Linked DNA regions of Notamacropus eugenii. The protein of the gene in region 1 interacts with the protein of each later gene in a biochemical or structural test. Links are inferred from orthologs where the notes say so. Each region holds a gene or a part of one and is shown on either strand. Other genes may lie near its edges.

Region 1 (10,043 bases):
CTAAACCATTACCTTTTTCCAATCCTATTTAATCCCAAAGAATTTAAATTCAAGTGATTTTTTGATTATGAGTGACAACAGACAGACAGTCACAAGTACTACACTGGAGTAAATGAACCAGAGGAAGGCCTCTAATGCATTGGAAAGATTCTCTACAGACTTTACAGGAAAACATGGTCAAGAATTATAAAGGTTAAGAGGGTTAAGATGGGCCCAGATTTATGCTGGTAGATGGAGTGACAATAATGAGAACTGACATTTAAATAATACTTTAAGATTTTAAAGTAATTCACTTACATTATTTCATTTGATCACAACAAGTCTGCAAGGTAGATTAGGTACATTTTCCCCATTTTTAGATGGGAAAATTAAGGTTCAGGGTTAAATGACTTGCCTACCATCACACAGATAAATAGTGCCATAGGTAACATCTGAAGACAGGTTTTACCTGTGACTCCAAGTCCAGTTCTTTTTCTGTTATACCATGGTGCCTCTCAAATTACCCAAAGTAAAGAAGTCACAGATCCACTGAAATTTCGAAGTTGGATGCTACAATCATTCTTATATGTAATCTTTTTTGTGTCCTGGACTCTTTTTGCAGTCTGGTGAAACCTATTAACCCCTCTCAGTGTCATTTTTAAAGGAATGAAATCAGATCCACAGGATTACAAAGGAAATGAATTACATTAAAATACACATATTGAAATATTTTCTTAAAAAGGTCTATGGACTCCAGATTAAAACCACCTCCTCTGGAACTCATTCTCTTACCATCATGCTCATCAAATTTGTCAATGAGGGTACACATTCGGTAATCCCACAGTTGGATGACTCCATTGTGAAGACTAGTCAAGATCCAGGGTCGTTTGGGGTGAAAGCTGAGTCCTGGGAAGAATGATATAGCGAACCACAATGAGACAGGCTCAATGCCTCAAGCTCCTAACAATTCAGACACGAAAAGAAGTCATTTGATCTTCAAATTTCATGTTAACTTACTCTGGCCAATCAGATGAAGAGAACCTCTTCTCACTCAGAAAATGAAACCTCTAAATTCCTTATAGAAAGAAATCAATGCATCTCAGAATCCTAGAATTTCAAATTTGGAATGTACCTCAGAGGTCATCTAATCCAACACCTACTTCACCTAGAATCACTTCTATAATAGCCCCAAGTGATCATTCAGCCTTGAAGACCTCTAGGGATGGGAAATCCATTTCTAAGGCAACTCATTTCACTTTTTGTTACCTCTAATTGTTTTGAAATGTTTCCTTATGTCAAGTCAGTTTGCCTCTCTGAAATATCTACCTGTTGATTCTAGTTTTGTCGTGTGAGATCAAAGACACAGCTATTAAGATATTTGAAGTAGTTATTGAGCCCTCCCTAAATCTTCTCTTCTTCAGAAGTCCTCAGTTCTTGCAACTGGTCATCGTGAAGTCCTTCATCTCCTCTGGATGATGTACAGCTTATAAATGTCCTTCTTAAAATGTAGTGTCCAAAAAAAGAATACCTCTAGATGTGATCCAAGCATGTCATGGCACAGCAGGATTATCACCTTTGTTCTGTATATTATATCTCTAAACGTTGCCTAAAATACCAATAGTTTTTAAGCCACAATATCACACCATTAACTCACACTGAGTTTGCAATTCATTAAACACTCAAGATCTTAATTAGGAGAACTGTTGACTAGCCATGCTTTTTCTCCATCTTTAACTTGTAATGGTGATTTTTTGAACTGAAGTAATGGACTTTATATTTTTCTTATACAAGTTAGTTATGATAGATTTCAGTCCAATATTCCAGACTGTTAATACTTTTTTGGATAGTGATGTCAATTTGAACTCATTTGACATACTTGTGAGGAATTTTTAAGGAAATATAAGTTACATCTTTTATAATGTAGTTGCATTATGAAAAGGTTTGAAAGTTACTGACAGACTAATGTTTCTTGTGTGATACATCCCGTAATCAATACACCAATAAGCATTTATCAAGTGCTTGCACTATCCTAAGTACTGGGGATATAAATATAAAATAAGACAATCCTTGTCCTCAAGAAACTTTCATTTTAATAGGGGAAGCAATATATTGACAGAGAAGTAACTACAGCATATACACAAAATAAATACAAAGTGATGGAGGGGAGGGAGCAGATACTTAGAATAGGGGAATCAGGAAAGATTTATTGAACGAATGGTTATCTGAGCTGAACCTTGAAGGGAGCCATGGGTTCCATTAATGGAAGTGAGGAGAATGAAAAATTCTAGTCAAGGGGAGAGCCAACAAAAGATACAGAGACGAGAGATACAACACTATGTACCAAGAACAGCAAGTCTAGAGTACAGAATGTATTGTAATAGATGGGAGAGGATAAGCGATTAGCTATTATCTCTCTTTATTCCACCTTTCTTCAGAGAAGTCAAAATTTAGCTATATTTTAATTCTCATTTATTCAGAAACTAAGGCTTTTGGGGAACAGATGGCTTGCTTATGGTCATATGTAACAGTTGAACACTTTGGACATGGGATTTCTACCTACAATTCCTTCTCTAGAAGTCATAATTGTAACCAAGGGCTTCTGTACTAATGCTACAAAAGTTCTTGTAACAGTTATTTGTTCAAACTACTAACTCCTTGTCACTTAAGGTCATAGAAAAACCTTAAATGTACGTTATGATAATCAAGATCTTCATAAGAACCTGATAAACTCGGAATGACCCTTTATAATTCCACTGCTTACTAAACCTAAAAGATGGGATTTGACTTTTAGTATCCTTATAGAGTTTACTCCCCTACCTTTTCCTTCCTCTTCAGATTTTATTGAGAAATCCCTGACAGAGTCCTGGGAAGCATACCCTTCTCTTCTCATCTCCTCACCTGGTCAGTCAAAAACCTTCAGGTTTTAGAGTACAGACATAAAGGAGGTGAGGAGAGGTGAGGGAAAGGAATAAGCATTTATATAGTGCCAACTACATGCCAGGCACTGTGCTAAGTGCTTTTTACAAATATTATCTCATTTGATCCTTACCACAACCCTTTGAGGTGTTACTGTTGTCGCTATTATGCAGATGAGAAAACTGAGGCAATCAGAGGTTGAATGACTTGCCCAGAGTAACACAGCTAGCAAGTGTCTGAGGTCAAATTTGAACTCAGGTCTTTTCTGATTTCAGTCCCAGGGCTCTATCTATTGCACCATCAACTGCCTCTACAAGGTAGAGGAACAAGATAGTCTGGCGACAGAAGAAATTGATGAAAATCAATGGGATGGGAATATTGCAGCTTCTAAAGTAGAAGTAATTAGTCCTTTTCTCGCAAAAGTTACCTAACAGAAACAGGTAGGTGGGAACAGGATCAGAATTCAGAACCCAAGAACTATACCCATAATACTTAATTTTGATACATTAAATAGAGCCTTGACAGCTAGAGAAAGACCAGGAGCTGGTAAACCCTTAGCAACATTATCCTGTCCATCCTTTCACCTTTTCAGAGAAATCAAAAGGATAAAACAATGACAACCCTCATTCACAGCCCAGGAAAGACTAGGGAGGGGAATGGGACTGTGTGTGTACCCAAGGTGATTGGGGATGGTGGGGAGTGAGGGGTCTGGGGAAGGTACATAGATAGGTCTATCAATGAACCAACCTACTGAGGTTGCAAGAAGGGCCTATCTATTATGGGATAGTGCTGGGCATGGGGGTATAGAAAAAACATTATACGGCAGTCTGTGCACTTGAGGAGCTTACCTTCCAGTACACTGGGACGTGATCACAGTTAAATAAGTAAGAAATACGAATTTCCCCCCTCACCCCATACATTTGTGTCGGGGAAGGCGTTCTGGATAGCGAAGGTACCCGGGAATGGGGGAGGGGAGAAAGACGGGGAAACGTAATAAAAGGGGTCAGATCTGAAAGAGCGAATGGGGGGAAAACCCAGGGATCACCAAAGTCCCTCTCCTTCCAGGCAGGCTCCGACCCGATCCCCTCAGGCCCCAGATTTCGGATCGCTTTTCCTCCCCTCCCCCCACCCCCCCAGGGCGAAGGCACTCCCTCAGGCGCCACACCCCGGGTCCCTCGGCTTCCCCTTCCTCCCCACCTTTGACTCGCGCACTCTTGGTCTCGAATTTGGTCAGCATCTTTGTCCGCCCTAGTCCAGGCCCCGGCTTCGGTTCCGGCCGCGGCCCGAAGCGCAGCCCGACTGGCCCGGGTCCCCTCCACGTCAGCACCGCCCCGCAGCCGCAGCCGCAGCCGGAAGCGCCCTACGCCTAACGCACTTCCGCCTGAAGGCCACAGAGACTGGCAGGGGAGCGGCCTAGAGAGGCCTCTGTCAGGCTGGAGGGGGCAGGAGGCGGAAGCGGCCCGGAGAGGCAAGATGGCCACTGCTGGGGGCGGCGGAGGAGCCGCCTCTGGGGGCCGGCGAACCTGCCTCCTCTTTTGCTTCGTTCCTTTGCTGGCAGGTGAGCCCTCCCCACCCCCCCGGAGCCGCGAGGGCCTCTTTGCGAGAACTTCCTTTACTCCGAAACCGCCCAGGCGCCCTTGGGTCCTCCGTCCCGCCGATTCGCAAACCCCCCTACTCGGCGTTCCCCCGACACAAGTTCCGCGCTTCTCGAGGATTTAAAGCCCCCGTTCTGCCCCCAGCCCGGAGGAGCTGCTGTCCGAGGCCCCCGCCTTCCCGCTGGGCTTCTTGGAGGCCCCCGGGCGGTGGGAGTCTGGGATCAGGCTCGTTCCCATCCCTGTACCTCAGTTTCTCCTCTCTGCCAAACAGACGGAGACGGACTCTTGGCCGCTTTGGCTCTTCCGAGCTACGAGGAGAAGTTTCCCTGGCCCTGAAGCTTTGGGGGGCGGGGGGCGGGGCTGCAGCTGGGGTTTGCTTTTCCTGTGCCTCTCGTGTGGGGGGGGGGGGGCTCCCTCTCTCCAGCTACCTCCGTGCCCTCCCCAGCCCCAAGGTGGTAGCCTTGGTCCTTCAGGATCTCCCTCCCGTGACTGTAGTGGGTGAACTTGTAAGAGCTGCGTCTGACAGTGGCGTGTGTAGACCGGGTTTCCTCCCTTTCCACCTCATTTCTTGGGAATACAGAGAAAGACTTTGAATCCAGGCACTGCTCTGGAGCTCGCACTCTTTACAATTAATCAGTAATCCACACATAGGGCTTCCTTTGACCACATTTTCTCTTATCTGGGAACTAGTGTGATTGCGCTACCGTGGTTAGTAAGAAACTTGGATTTCTCTAGTGTTTGGGGGGAGGGGTGGAAGGAGCGTGCTCCTTCCTGTGTCCTAATGGACATATTGAGTGAAGATAATATGCATTATGTTCATTTAACAGACCACGAAACTGAGCCCAGAGAGGCTGAGTGATTTGCTTAACGTAAGGAGATAGATAGGTTAAAGGCACGGCTAAAACTAGAACCCAAGTTTCCCAACCCAGAATTTTTCCTGCTGACATATGCCAGTCTCATGCCACCTCCTTGCTGAGAAGATGAGTAAGGGAACTATGCCCCTTTTATTTTTAAAACTTCTTTCTTACACCTGTTGCTTTCTCTTCAGGTCTGTGCCAAACAAATTCAGTGGAGAGGAAGATCTACATCCCCTTGAACAGAACGGCTCCCTGTGTCCGCCTGCTCAATGCCACTCACCAGATTGGCTGCCAGTGTAAGTTGGCAATTAGTGCTTTAGTGCTCCGGGAATTCCAGAGCCTGTATTAGGTAGACTGCAAGTTAATTGGGGGTAGCAGAACACAGTCAGAATAGGGAAGAAGGGAAATCAGTGGGATTACATCTGACTGTTACATTGATCTTTTCAAAAAATAAATTTACTAATACATTTTTTGATTGGTTGGTTTTTTTGGAGGCAATTGAGGTTAAGTGACTTGCCGAGGGTCACACAGCTAGAATCTGAGGCTGGATTTGAACCTAGGTCCTTCTGATTCCATACATTTTGTTTTGACACAGCAAATCCTTCCCAACAAATAGCTAAACAAACCCCTTTACAAAGTACATCCCCCTACAGGTTATTGATTTTTTTAAAAACAGAATTGTCTTAACTTTGTCTAGTGCTGATGATCATTGTTTTTGACCAGTCCTTTGTTACCTCTCTATACTGATCTTAATGACATTGTCATTAGATAGAGATAATCTATATCTATATGGATTATCTATATAGATAATCCATATCTATGTATTGATATCTATCTTTTTTGCCCTTCTGTATCTGTATATTGATATCTACCTTTCTTTTACTTCTGATTTACTTCATATGTCTTCCCACGTTTCTCCAAATTCTTTACATTTGTCGTTCTTTACGGCTCAGTAACATTAAATTCGAGTATAATTTATTCACCTAGTTCTATGGTCGTTGGGCATGTATTTTGTTTCTCACTCTCTGTTATTACAAATAATCTTGTAAATTAAAAAAATATATATATATATATGTCTTTTTTTGCTTTTGATAAGCTCCTTGAGATGTAGGTCAAATTAAATCTCTTGAGTCAAAGGGAATGAACAATTTAATAAGTTCTTATGTGATTCCAAACTTTTCTAGAATGGTTGAACCAAGCCATAACTCCATTATCAGTTAATTATCTTTCTTGTTTTCCTGTAACTATTCCAGGGATAGGTTTTCTCCTCCTTTAACATCTTTGCCACTTGGTGGTTATATACTTGAGGATTATCCTAATTTCTCTTTTCTTCTGATTATTAATGACCCTCTGCATTTCCAAGTGGTGATAAGTAGCTTGTATTTCTTCTTTTGAAAACAGTTCGTGTCTGCTGTGTGTAAGTGTGGTCCAGTGGAAAGAGCAGTGGCTCAGAAATAGAAGACTTGGATTCAAATCCCACCTCTGATGCTTGCTCTGTTTTTGATTTTGAACAAGTCATTTAACCTGCTTGAGCCTCAGTTTCCTCAACTGTAAAATAACTTGGGACAAAAATGGAAGCTTCTTCATTGGAGTAATGGTCTTGCTTGTATTTATATTTCAAGAGCTTACAAAGTACCTGGCACATAGTTAGCACTTGATAAATGCTGTAAATAGATGGTCTCTGAATTTCCTTTCAAGTCAGGATCTGTGATCTTTTGACTATTTCTCTATTGTACAGTGATATTCTTAGAGTCTGAGGTGGACTTCTGAGAAGCAGTGAATTGTTTGATAATGAAGAAACTCTGAGAATGCTAATGAGTTGTCATCCATGGGAATGACATTCAATGAAATCATGAAACTCTTCTTATCAGAAGGAGAGATGAAGCAGGAGGTGGTGCTAAGAAGCTTCACATAAAAGAATATCACAGAGGAGAGAATGGGGTGATTGACTCCCTGTGGTTGGTGGTCCATGATTTGATTTTTATTCCATCAGCAGCACCTATTTCTGGACATCAAATTTCCTTTTGAAATAGGAAGTTAGACTAGTACAGAGAGTCTAGTATGAAACTCTTTCTACCATACTGTGTGACCTTGAACAAATTATTTCACTTCTCTGAGATGTGGGTTCTTTTCTTTCCATAAAAAATGATGAAATATTCCTTCTTTCTTTTCTTTCAGTGGAGGATTTGAGGTTCAGTGAGAGTATTTCTTTAAACTCATAAAGATAAGCTTAGTCTTTGTAGATTGTAATGAATAGGTATTTTGGTTTCAGCAGCTATTTGCTGTGAAATAAAGCATCTGGGATAGTTAGGGATACCATGTCACCATGATGAAGAGAACTGTTCAAATGGGTGGAATGGTTCTGAGAGCCCTGGATTACTAGTGTGTTATCTCCCCATTATCAGCCTGTCCTGTCTTTAGTCAAGTAGTTGATGTTTTGTTGCATGACTGCAGTAGCTACTTCCTGGCTGGGTTAGCTAGTTCTAGACAGACCCTTAAGTTATAGGATCATTGCTGGAAATATACCCAACATGGAATGAGGGATAGTGGATCTGTTATGGTCTCTAACTGCAGTTTCAGTTCCAACCTTAAGTATAGGGGCTTGAACCCCATTCTCCTGGAACCAGGTTCTGACAGTGCTTGTCTTTTAAACCCTTTTTGGCAGTGACTCATCCATCATGCTACCTATGTTTACCACAGCCTTGTAGAATGTATGATCTTATAAGCAAAGCTGAGCATTGGAAAGAGGAGGAGCAAGACTCAGGCTATTTCCTCATTAGAAACCTGTTTCCTTTTCAATCTGGCTAGGTCTAAGTTTCCCTCTTCAGGTTCATCCACCTCTGAACAAGGCTACACCTTCTTTAATTGGGATTGCTAACATGATAATCCTCTGGGGAAATAGTGAGGCACAGTATTGGTTTACTGATAACAATATCCCATGTTTATTGGACTCCTTTCCCTAGGGAGCTCAAAGGCTTGTGCAGGTTCCTTTTTCATACAGTCTGTCTCTTCCTGGGGAGAGGGTTAGGGAGCAGCTCAGCCGATTGCCATTTTTGCCCAGAGAGATTAAGCAACTTGTTTAAAGTCATAGAGTGAACCAGGGATGCTCCCCAGACTAGAATCTAGGTTTCCTATCATTTTTCTTTTCTCCAAGCCTCATTAAAGCAGGAGTTACTAATCTTTCATAGCCACTATCCCTTTTTCTCCCCGTAGGTTACATATAGTACAATTAGAGAGATCTACAGGTCATACTCAACTAGAAATAGATCATAGTTTACGTACTGACTTAGGAAACCACAAATTAACATTATCTATGTTGTATTGTTTTTTCATTTATTTTGTTAAAAATGTCCCAATTACATTTAAATCTATTTTGCAGCACTCCTTGGTTTTGCAGGCCAAATGGGGTCCAAGTTTGTCTTCTCTTGTCTACAGTGTACTTCAAATCTTTGTAAAAGTTATTTCAAACTTGGAGCTTTTTCCAAGTGTTTGTCACCTGTGGCCATTATTTCCCATGCAATACCTTTCCTCCATGTCCAGCTGTTCTTTCAGGGTCCCAATCTAGTTTCTAGAAGAGAGAAGCTAACAATGTATGAAACTGCATGAGAACTTGTGGTTTTGTCCTGTGTGGTTCTGTTTCCTTATAGATGTGGGAGTTTCACTGCATACTGGCCCAGTGAAATAGGGTAAACGGAATAAATTCTAGGGTCTTTATTTTTTCCATCTGGTTCCTGCAGCTTCCATTAGTGGGGACACAGGAGTGATCCATGTAGTGGAAGAGGAGGAAGATCTGAAGTGGGTCCTAACCAATGGCCCAAACCCCCCCTATATGGTACTGCTGGAAGGCAAGCTTTTTACCAGGTAAGGTTCTGGCTGTATATGCCTGGAAAAGGTGAGCAATCAGAGGAAAATAGGAGCTTTCTCCCAGCTTTAAAAAATGGGTACTATCCTTGACTTTCCTCATACTGTCTTCTTTTGAAAATGGTACAGATTTAAAGAGAACATTTTCAGTGATCCTGAAACCAGATCTGTCATCTGACTGGGTACTGTTTGAGTAGAGGGGTAGCAACCAGCATTATCTGTAATTTGGAAAATCTGGGATTAGGGTTAGAGTCAGGAATCCTGTAACAGGGCTAAATGAGGAAAAACATGACTTAACTCTCCAGTCAGATATTTTTCCCTTCCTATGGGGAGAGAAGTAAGAGTGTTGGACTGCCTGACACTTTCTTCTTTCCTCCTCCCTTAGCCCAATATTTCTTCTTGTTCTAGGAAGCTGATGGAAAAGCTGAAGGGTACTCAGCGAATCTCTGGTCTTGCTGTGGCTCTCGCCAAGCCCAGTCCTGTAGATGGTTTCTCTCCCAGCGTTGAATGCCCTAATGATGGGTTTGGTAAGAACCCCAAAGAGCCAGGAACCATCACCCATGGCTTATTGTTTGAATGCCATTAACTAGGTCATCTATTGCCCCCCAAGAGGATCATTAAAGTGAATGCATATAAATATGTGTTTATATGATTATGGCCTGTTGTGACAAATGTGGTGTGCTAGATTTGTGTATGTGTGTTCACCTAAATAACCAACTAACTACTCTGTAAAAGCCAGTGTTGCTTCATCTTGACCATCCATCCCATTCCCAAGGCACTCAAGATTTCAAGCTGGATAGCTTGGGTCCTCCTGGTGGCACGGTTCCTCTCTGGG
Region 2 (9,755 bases), on another chromosome or scaffold:
AGACCAGAGATAGGAAGACCACTTAGGAAGTGGGGAAAAGTGAAAAAGGCCTTAACAAGGGAATGGCAATGAATGAAGAATGAGAGTGACAGACTCCAGATCCCACGGGGGAGAATCAATAAGACTCAGCAGTTGACTGGATGTTAGGACATGGGAGCCAGGGGTAGTTCTTGAGGGTGACTGGGAAGCAGAATTTTTGAATGTATCTCCCCATGACCAGGATGTCTTGCACAGGGAGCAAGTGATGAGATTGTGGCAAGCACCAATTCCTGTCTGCCATAGTCAGAATCAGGGTCTGGAACTTAAGGAAAAGTTGGTTCCATTCATGAAATAGGTTCATCTGCTGACTTTGGATTTTCTAGGATTACTGAAGTGCAGTGGTCTGGCTCAAACCTAGACAGGTCTTTTCCCTTCTCTGTGTCTTAGTATCTTCCTGTGTAAAGTGAGAAGGCTGGAATAGGGTTCTCCACCTGGAGGAGGCAACCACAATGCATTAATAGCTTCTATGGGAAAATGTAATCCAAGCCCCAGACTGATTTACCAACGAATTTCTGAGATGTGATCTGTTTGCTTTTTAAAGCTGATTAAAGACAAACCCCAAAGGCCAAGAGACCAAACTCTGGGGAGGGAAATATGGGGGTGTGGGGCTCCAAGATAAAATACAACCTCATCAGCCTGGCATTTAAAGCCCTTCCCCAGCTGGCACTGGCCTTCCTTTCCAGCCTTACTGAATAGAACTCCCCTTCAAGTTTCCAACACTATGTTCCAGCCAGACCTCCAGGCATCCCACCTCTGGCCTCCTCAGTCTGCCTCTCAGACCTTCAATGTGCTGCCTGCCTCCTGATCTTTGCCTCTTACAGTCCTTAGCTTCCTTAAATGCTCAACTCATGTCCCAGCTCCTTGACTCATCTGTTGATTTGCCTTAATGACAATTTCATTCTTCAAAACCAAAGGGGAAATTCTGTTCTAGTTCTGATACTCATTAATAAGGAGGCACGAGTTGCTGGGATGGAAAGGATGGGAACCTTACAGGAAAGGGACCACCCCATCCTAGAGTTTGTGATGGAGGAGAGGAAATTTGAGCACCATCTGACATGGAGTTACCCTCAATTTTAGGAAAGCAGATTTCAAAGATCTCAGAGGAGAGATGAATAGGATCTCAGGGAAGTGGGCTCAGGAGAGAAGGGAGATGCTCATGAATGAAATCCTGAAGACACTAAACGAAGGGAAACAACTTCATTGAGGAGGAAAAATGGCATTTGTCTGAAGAAACCAATGTGGATACATAGGGAACTCACCAACCAACTTAGCTTCTACAATAAAAGAAGAAAAAATGGGAGCAAAGCCAAGTAATGAGGATGAGAATGAGAGCATAGGTGAGTTCTGTAACAATGTTAAAGTTCAGAATGACCCAAGAATGGCAAGGGAATCGAGGAAATGATCACTTGGAGAGCATGGGGTGCTCAACTGCTCTTTTTTGCTTTCTTCTGCTAAGAAGAAATGACTGAACATAAACGACCAAAAAGCAGATCAGTAAGGAGTAAATGAGAGCGAACCCAAGGCACCCAGCCCAGAAGAGCCACACCCTCTGGTCCTCAAAGAGCGGGCACTGTCTGCCATGGCTGAGCATGGAGAGGGAATGGGAGAATAGAAAATGCTGGTTGTCCCAAGTTGTAAGAAAGAGAACAGACCAAAGCCTGCAAACTAGAAGAGTGAGCCTGACCTCAATTCCTGAGAAAACCCTAGAAATGATCATTATAGAGCTAGCTGGCAAACATTTATTTAGAAAAGGAAGTAGGGATTACAAAGAGCCAGCACGGCTTTGATTAACGTGGGATTAATCCCACTTTCCTTTCTGACAGGGTCTCTAGTGAATAAGGGAAAGGCAACGGATAGAGTTTATGCAGATTTTAGCAAAGCTTTTGATAAAATTTCTCTTACCACTTTTGTGGAAAAGCTATGCATTGAAAATAACACATTAAATGGATTCAGCAGGGGCTGCCAGTGATTCTGCGTCAGCACGGCAGAAGGAGCCCTGAGTCTTATCAATGATCAATGGTGTGGATAAATGACTAAGTGGCAGGTTCATCCAGTCTGCAAATGACACCCAGCTTGGAAGAAGCTGGCACTTCCGATGACAAGTAGGATTCAAAAGGATTTCAACAGGCTGGAGCACTGAGCTGAATCTAATAAGATTCACTGAAACAAATGGGAAACCTGCATGTGGGCACAAAAATTCAGCTTCATGAACATAAGATGGGGAAGCACAGAGAAAAAGCAGCTGATCTGAAAAAGATCTGGGTGTTTAAGTGGATCACTAGCTCTACAGGAGCTAGCAGTGTGCTGTGGAAGCCAAAAGAAGCCAGGATAATCTGGGCTGCCTTAAGAGGGGCATAGTTTTGATCTCATCAGACTTCATCTGGAGTACTATATCCAATTAGGGGGCAACCAGGATGGTGTAGAGCCTTGGATCCATGTCACGGACTCTGAGGACATCATAGGGATGTCCCACAGTCAGTCTTAACTGAGATTCCACAGGGAAGTCTGCAGAGAGAAGGAACTAGGGCATGTTTAGCCCAAAGAAGAGAAGATTCAGATCATTAAGTACATAAAAGCCTGTCACGTGAAGGCAGGACGAGCGTTGTTCTAGCTGGCATCAGAGGGTAGAACTAGGAGCAATGGGCTGGAATTCTGGAGAAGCAAATTTGGGACTGAGGTCAGAAAAACATTCTCACAATGACAGCTCTCAGAAAGCAGAATGGACTGCCTGGAGCAGGGGAGGATTCCCCCTCTACTTGGAGGCTGGATCACTGCCTCTCAGGCATGTCATTGGGGAGATTCCATTCATATATAGGTTGGACAATGAGGCCTTTTCCAACTCTCAAGTTCCATGACTTCTATAGGATTTCCTACAGAAAAAGTGGATGAAGCCTCTATTTCTTCATTCAACTCAGAATGTAAGGCACCATCCTAGAGATAAAAAGTCAAAAATGAAATAGTCTTTGACCTCCCAGAACTTATTCTCAAAGATGAGGATAATGTTTCTGCTACCTACCTCACAGGGCTCCTACGAGAATCAAATCAAAATGTATGTGAAGGTTCTTTCCTTCCCCCTTTTTTAAACTGTAGAGTGTTCTGAACATGTAAATCATTACCTTTGCTATTGGGCTCCTTTGAAACTATTTCTTTCTACCTGCCACCTTTGGGAAGAATTTGGTAAATGTTCAAATGACAAACCTGTAGAAAATCCTAAATTGAAAACAGGGCTGGGGACCTGATACTTACAAGTTTGCCTTATGAAGATACCTTACTGGAGCCTGGATTTTGGAGGGCACCAAGCTTAGGTTTTCCCAAAAACTAGTCCAAGGCAACTTTTTCTTAATCATCTGTAAAACTTACCATTTAATGGATAAAAATGACCACTTCCTACCTGACACCCCTCTCATGGTAGGCTCCACCCAGTTGAGATCAAAGAGCTGTCCAAGGTAGACAATTTAGCTATTTAAAGGTCCCGTTTACTTTGGGTAGGGAAATACATAGTTGCCCTTCCACCTCCCCTCTCAGGAGGAGAGAAAGCCTTGAGTGGGGGGAAGACAGAAAACTCCAAGGTTCAGCCTTGGACCTAGAGGTCTCTTTCAGCAAGTTTACACTCATCTAAGTTTGGAGCCCTACCAGAAAATTTCTACTCTGTCTTTTGACCACACCTCCCATCCTAGCTACTGAGGCAGCCCACTCAGGTTCTTTAACAGTCCCAGATGAGGTTAATGAAGCTTGACTATCTATAGCTAGTCTTAACCAGGCTTCCCTAGAGAGGCTTGCGGAAAGACCATTAACTGGGAGGAGGGACGGCTTCTTAGCAATGAGAACCGTCCAAGGGTGGAGTTGTTTTCCTCGGCGGGTAGTGAGGTGCCCATCACTAGAGATCTCCCTGTGCAGGCCAGATGTCCCCTTGTTAAATAAAATTTGGGGGCGGGAGGAGATTCTTGACCATTCAGGTACAAGCGGGGCTGGACAATCTCTCGAGGTCTCCTTTACCTAGAGCACTTCGTCTCTGCCTTTTCTTGGCCCGGGTGAACATTTCAAAGTTTTAGTGTGTTGCCCCCGCCCCCCAGAAGAAGGCTGGATTTGGAGTCCGGGGTCCTGGCTGTGAATCTCCGTTTCCTATTTACTACCTGCTGACCTCGCGCAAATCGTTAGCGGCTCTGAAGCCTCAGTTTCTTCCACCTGTAAAACGAAGGGGTTGGCCTGGGCACCTAGGACCCTGTCTGCAGGTCCCATCGTCGTGGGTCTCCCCAGGGCTCAGCACGTAGGAGGCGCTACATGAACATTCGCTGAATTGAAGGAATTCGCTGTATCGGCCGTCCGCGCCCTCTGGGCCTCAGTTTGCCCGTCGGCAAAATGGGGCGCGAGGATTTGGACGAGATCCCTCCTAAAGGGCCCTGGCGGCTGGGCTGGGCTAGGCTAGGCTGGGCTAGGCTAGGAATCCCCGGGCCCGGCCCTGACCACGGTCTAGGCCGGGGCCGAGGAAGGAGGAAGGCGCCGCGGACCCCGGACCTCCCGCCCTGCCCTCCGTCCCGGCCCGCTGCACGCACCTTGACGCGCTGCGCCTCGTTGATGCACTGCTGGTAGCTGCCGATGTAGAAGGCGTTCTTCACGTCGAACAGCTCGTCCACTTCCCCTGGGCCGCCGGGGGCCGGGCCGGTACCGGGAGCCGGAGGGGCCATCTTGTTACCGACACGTCGACAGAGACGAGGAGGAAGTGACGCAAGCCGGCGCCCGCACGGCCCTCTGGGAATCGTAGTTCTGGCCTTGAGCGGAACTAGAAGGGGCGGGGCTGGGGAGGGGGGAGGAAGGAGGGAGGCGTGTCTGGGCGGGGACGTGGTGACGCTCCGGAACTGCGGCAGGACCGGCGCGCGGGGAGCTCTTCGGGGGCCGCTGTGGTGCTGGGGTGCAGCAGGCGTGGGTACCTGTGGGAGAGGAGCAGGAGGAGGAGAAGGAGCAGGAGCAGCAGGGGAGGACCAGCCCGCCGCCGCGGAGCCGGGGGAGCCATGGCCGCGTTCGCGGAGCTGGGGCTGGCGTCGTGGCTCGTGGCGCAGTGTAAACAGCTGGGCCTGAAGCGTCCCACGCCGGTGCAGCAGAACTGCATCCCCGCCATCCTGGAGGGTGAGCTGCCCCCCCCCGCCCCCACCGTGGCGATCGATGAGAAGACCCCGCCTCCACGCCCCACTCCCAGCGAATCTGCCTCTGAGCAAGTCGTTTTCCTCCCCTGCCTCAGTTTCCCCATCTGTAAAACGTCGATTCATAACAGCGCTTACTCTCGGGGTTGTTGGATGGATAAAATGAGACTACAGGGCGCTAGAATTGTTACCTCTTACCATCCTCCTCGCTTCCTTTCTCTCGGCTCTCCCTTCTTCCATCCCCTCTCCTCCTACCTCCCTTTCATTCCCCAGTTTCTTCCACCTCCAGCGTGCGTCAGCTTCCGTGCTCTTTCTCTGCCATCTCCCCTGCTCCCTGTAATAATAATCTGACGTTTATATAGCGCTTCCCCCGGTGATTTCATTTAAACCCTCAGTTCTCCAGCCTCCCCCGCCCATTTACCTTCCTCCTTCCCTGCTGCCTCCTTTGCCCCCCCCACAGTTCTTGCCCTTTATCCTTCTAGGTACCCTGTGGATTCTTCCTTGTGCCGAGTGCTTTCCCTCCTTTTGCTCTAGAAAGCGTCTCTTTCCCACCTCCTGATTCCTTCCCCTCTTCCCTCATGGGCTTTAGGTTTCTCCAGGCCTCTTTTATCCGAGGCAGCAGCTGGTCCTGCAAAGAGTCCTGGAGCGACAATCAGGAGACCCACCTGGCTTCTGTCCTGTGGGATGTCTGCCTGCGCTGCAGACTTCCTGGGGTGCCCTGGAAAAGTTATTTCCCCTCTGGAAGGTGGGGCGAATAACACTTGCACTACCTCACAGGGACAAAATTAGAAAAAGTATTTAAAAATCACTTGGTAAAGTGCCCTGTGTGCAAAAGGTCACAATTATTGTTGTTTTTGTTGTCTTAGGTCGAGACTGCATGGCATGTGCAAAGACTGGCAGCGGCAAGACTGCTGCCTTTGTGCTGCCAATTCTGCAGAAGTTGTCTGAAGACCCGTATGGCATTTTCTGTCTTGTGCTAACGCCCACCAGGTATGGCCATGTTCACCTTTCCAGTGAGGTAACATTTACTGTAAATTAAAATCTGTTACTCTTTTTCCATACGTCCACTGTGAGTATTGTAACAAAGGGTATCATGCACGATGGGGAAAAAGCCTTGGAGAAATGGGATCCAGATCTAGATCTAGCACCTTTTAGCTGTCTGAGGTCAGACAAGACTACAGTTGTTCAGTCATTTCAGGTGTATCTGACTCTCCATGACCTCATTGGGGTTTTCTTGACAAAGGTGCTGGAGTGGTTTGCCACTTCCTTCTCCAGCTCATTTTACAGAGGAGGAAACTGAAACAAACAAGGTTAAGTGACTTGCTCAGGATCATACAACCAGTAACTGTGTTGGAGGCTAGATTTGAATTCAGATCCTCCTGACTCCATGCCCAGTGCTCTATACCCACTGTACCCCTAGCTGCCCTGCAATAGAGCTATACAATGCAGCAAATATTTGCACTGTTCTAGGACTGGAGGAGATGCAGTATTAGATTATCTCTGCTCTAATGTCTTCCCCCAATTGATCATCTCTGCTTTATACAGTCTGTATTCTGTTTGTACATCGTTGTGGGCATGTTGCCTCCCCCATGAGACTGCGCTCCCTGAGGGCAGGAACGGTTTTTTGTCTTTCTTTGTATCTCTTGTGCCTGGCACAGAGTAGGCACTTAATAAATGCTTATCGACTTACTGGATTTTATATTCTAGCTAGGGGAGGAGACATGTGCACAGATAACTATAACACACAGTATATATGACTGGGCTGTATGAGTTCTGATGGGTGTAAGGTTGTTAACAATTGAGTAGAGTGGCTATCAGGAACAGTTTCCTGGAGGATGTTGTATTTGAGGTGAGCTTTAAAGGATGGGTAAGAAATTAGCAGACAAAGGGAGAACAGGCATAGGGATAGGAAGCAACTGAAGTAAAGACAGGGAGGGTTGAAACTGTGATGTGTGTTTGGAGGGCAAAGAATTGTTCATTTTGGCTCTGGCAGAGGTTTCATTGAGGGGAGTAAATTGAGATAGGACTAGAGAGGGTGGTAGGTGCCAGATTAAGGAAGGCAGCCTCCTTCATCTGCTCTCTGCTTTACTCAGACTGCCGTGTTGGCTGTTCCTTAAACCCCTCTGTACTTTTACACAAGCAGTTCTTCATTTCTGGAACATACTCCCTCTCTCCCCTTTCTCCTCACAGAATCCCTAGACATAGCTCAGACATCACTTCTGAAACAAGGGCTTTCTTTTCCCTCCATTATTAGAACTCTCTCTCTTGATGGAACTTAGTGTTACGTTATGTATTAATTAGTTAATAGATATTTCTTAAATAAATGGGGCAGCTAGGTGGCTCAGTAGATAGAGTGCCAGGCCTGGAGTCAGTAAGACTCATCTTCCCAAGTTCAAATCCAGTCTCAGACACCTACTAGCTGTGTGACCCTGAGCAAGTCACTTAAACTATTAAAATGAGCTGGAGAAGGAAATGGCAAACTACTCTACTATCTTTGCCAAGAAAATTCCAAATGGGGTCACAGAGAGTCGGACACAGCTGAAAAGCCAACTAAACATTAAGTGTCTACTGTGTGCCAAGCACTGTTCTAGGGATAAAAAAATACAGTGGTTAAAATAAGCTCTGCTTCATAAAGAGCTAAGGTAATGCAGAATATAAAGAAGATAGATGTAGACTTATTCTTTACAAGGCAGTTTGCCAGGGAGGCTTCTGTCAGTTGTGTAGGGTAGGAAAGGCTTCATGTAGAAGGTGGCACTTGAACTGTCTTGATGCAAGAGAGGACATCTCTGAAGTGAAGATGTAGGGGATTGCGTTTCAGGCACAGGCGACAGGACATTGAGTTTCATGTGTAAGCAACAGAAAAGCGGTGTGGCTGCTGTAGAGTTTGGGAGGGAGAGTCACACCTGGTGAGGATGGAAAGACTAGGGCAAGATTGTGAAGGGCGTAAAAAGTGACTTTAAAGAAGGCGTTTATTTTATTCCAAAAGCATAGGAAGCTATTGTAGTTGATTGAGAGGAGGAGGGAGATGTGGTCAGATATGCACTTAGCCAGTGTGTAGCATGGATTAAAATGAGGAGAGGCTTGAGGCAGGGAGACCAGTTAGCAGACCATTAGTTTTTAGGCAATAACACAGGCATGAGGTGAGGAGGGCCTGAATGAAGGTCGTAGCTGTGCGAGTAGAGAGGAGAGGAACATTGTGGAGGCAGACACAGAAGATTTGGCAACTAATTGGATCTGTGAGGTCAGGGAGAATGAGTAGTCAGAGAAAGCACTGAGATTATGAACCTAGAAGACAGGAAGAATGATGGTGCCTTTGACAGAAATGGGAAAGCTTTGGAGGGGAAATAGGAGTCTTGTTTTGGACATGTTGTGTTTGAGATGTCTTTACGATGTCCAGGCTGAAATAGGCAGGTGGTGATACAAAACTGAAGCATGGAGTGACAGGTGAACCCATGAGAGTTGAAGCCACCAAGGGAGGAGGCAGACAAGCATTTGTAAGTGCCTACAGTGTGCCAGGCTTTGTGCTGAGTGCTTTACAGATGTCTCCCTGGGAGGTAGGGGCTATTATCATCCCCATTTTATGATTAAGAAAACTGAAGTAAGCAGAGGTTAAATGACTTATCCAGGGACACACTGCTATTAGACATATGAGACTGACTTGAACTCACTCTTACTGATTCTAGGCCCGGCATCACCTAGCTACTGAGAGTAGGAATGGGCCTAAGCCAGATTCAAATCCCACTTCTCATGTTCATGACCATTCATGACCTTGGGTAAGTTTTGTAGCCTTCCTCATCTGCCAATGGAGGGGGTTGGACTGGATAGCTCCTGAGGTCCCTTTCAGCTTTAAATCTGTTTTCCTGTTATGGAATTTTAGGGAACTCTTATAGTTAGAGGGTGTGATATGGATGAGGAGCCCCCTAAGGAGACAGAGGAATGATTAACAGGTGTGAGGAAAACCAGGAGGGAATATCCAGGAGAAAAGGGAGGTCATGTTAGATACAGCAGATAGTTTGAGAAGAATGAGGACTGCAAACATCGAATTTGGCAAGTAAGAGGCCCATTGGTAACTTTGGAGAGATCATTTGTGTGATGGTATTTAATGTATATTTACTTGTGCATTGGTATCAGTCTATCAACAAACATTGAATAAACCCTTTCTGTATGTTCTAGGCATAGAGGTAAGAAAGACAAAAATTAAACATTCCCTGCCCTCAGCGAGCTCACAGTCTCTGAGAATGAGAACTGGAGAAACCATATGCATATCAATCAATGCATACAAAACGAAAACAAGATTCCATTTTTTTGGTGGTTGTTGGAGAAGGAGAGGCATAAGCAGATGCTGGGGTCAGCAAAGGCCTGATGTAGGCGGGAGCTCTTGAGCTGAGTTTTGAAGGAAATTGGAAATGGATAAGACATGGGAGACTGCCTGTGCACAAGCCTAGAGAGAGAGGGGAGTTTTTAATTCGAGGAATGGTGGGAAAGCCAGTTTGGCTAAACTGCAGTGTCTTCAGACTGGAAAGGTAGTTGGAAACCAAGATATAAAAGAACCTTCACTGTAAAACGGAGGAGTTTGTC

The links. The genes of interacting proteins can lie anywhere in the genome.
Region 2: the proteins of COPA (region 1) and COPE form a complex in vitro, tested with the Homo sapiens proteins (3 studies listed by BioGRID, with this or other methods). The link is inferred for Notamacropus eugenii from reciprocal best matches to the Homo sapiens genes COPA and COPE.

What each region holds. Positions count from the first base shown.
Region 1 is NC_092873.1:385,356,240-385,366,282, forward strand, and holds the start of COPA (coatomer subunit alpha), read right to left. Parts: upstream 4,222-10,043; 5' UTR 4,133-4,221; coding exon 4,093-4,132; intron 886-4,092; coding exon 772-885; intron 1-771. Other genes in the region: NCSTN (nicastrin), read left to right, coding at 4,369-4,453, 5,539-5,643, 9,085-9,208, 9,617-9,735. UniProt on the Homo sapiens protein: The coatomer is a cytosolic protein complex that binds to dilysine motifs and reversibly associates with Golgi non-clathrin-coated vesicles, which further mediate biosynthetic protein transport from the ER, via the Golgi up to the trans Golgi network.
Region 2 is NC_092875.1:66,442,104-66,451,858, reverse strand, and holds the start of COPE (coatomer subunit epsilon), read right to left. Parts: upstream 4,816-9,755; 5' UTR 4,725-4,815; coding exon 4,593-4,724; intron 1-4,592. Other genes in the region: probable ATP-dependent RNA helicase DDX49, read left to right, coding at 5,049-5,163, 6,044-6,167. UniProt on the Homo sapiens protein: The coatomer is a cytosolic protein complex that binds to dilysine motifs and reversibly associates with Golgi non-clathrin-coated vesicles, which further mediate biosynthetic protein transport from the ER, via the Golgi up to the trans Golgi network.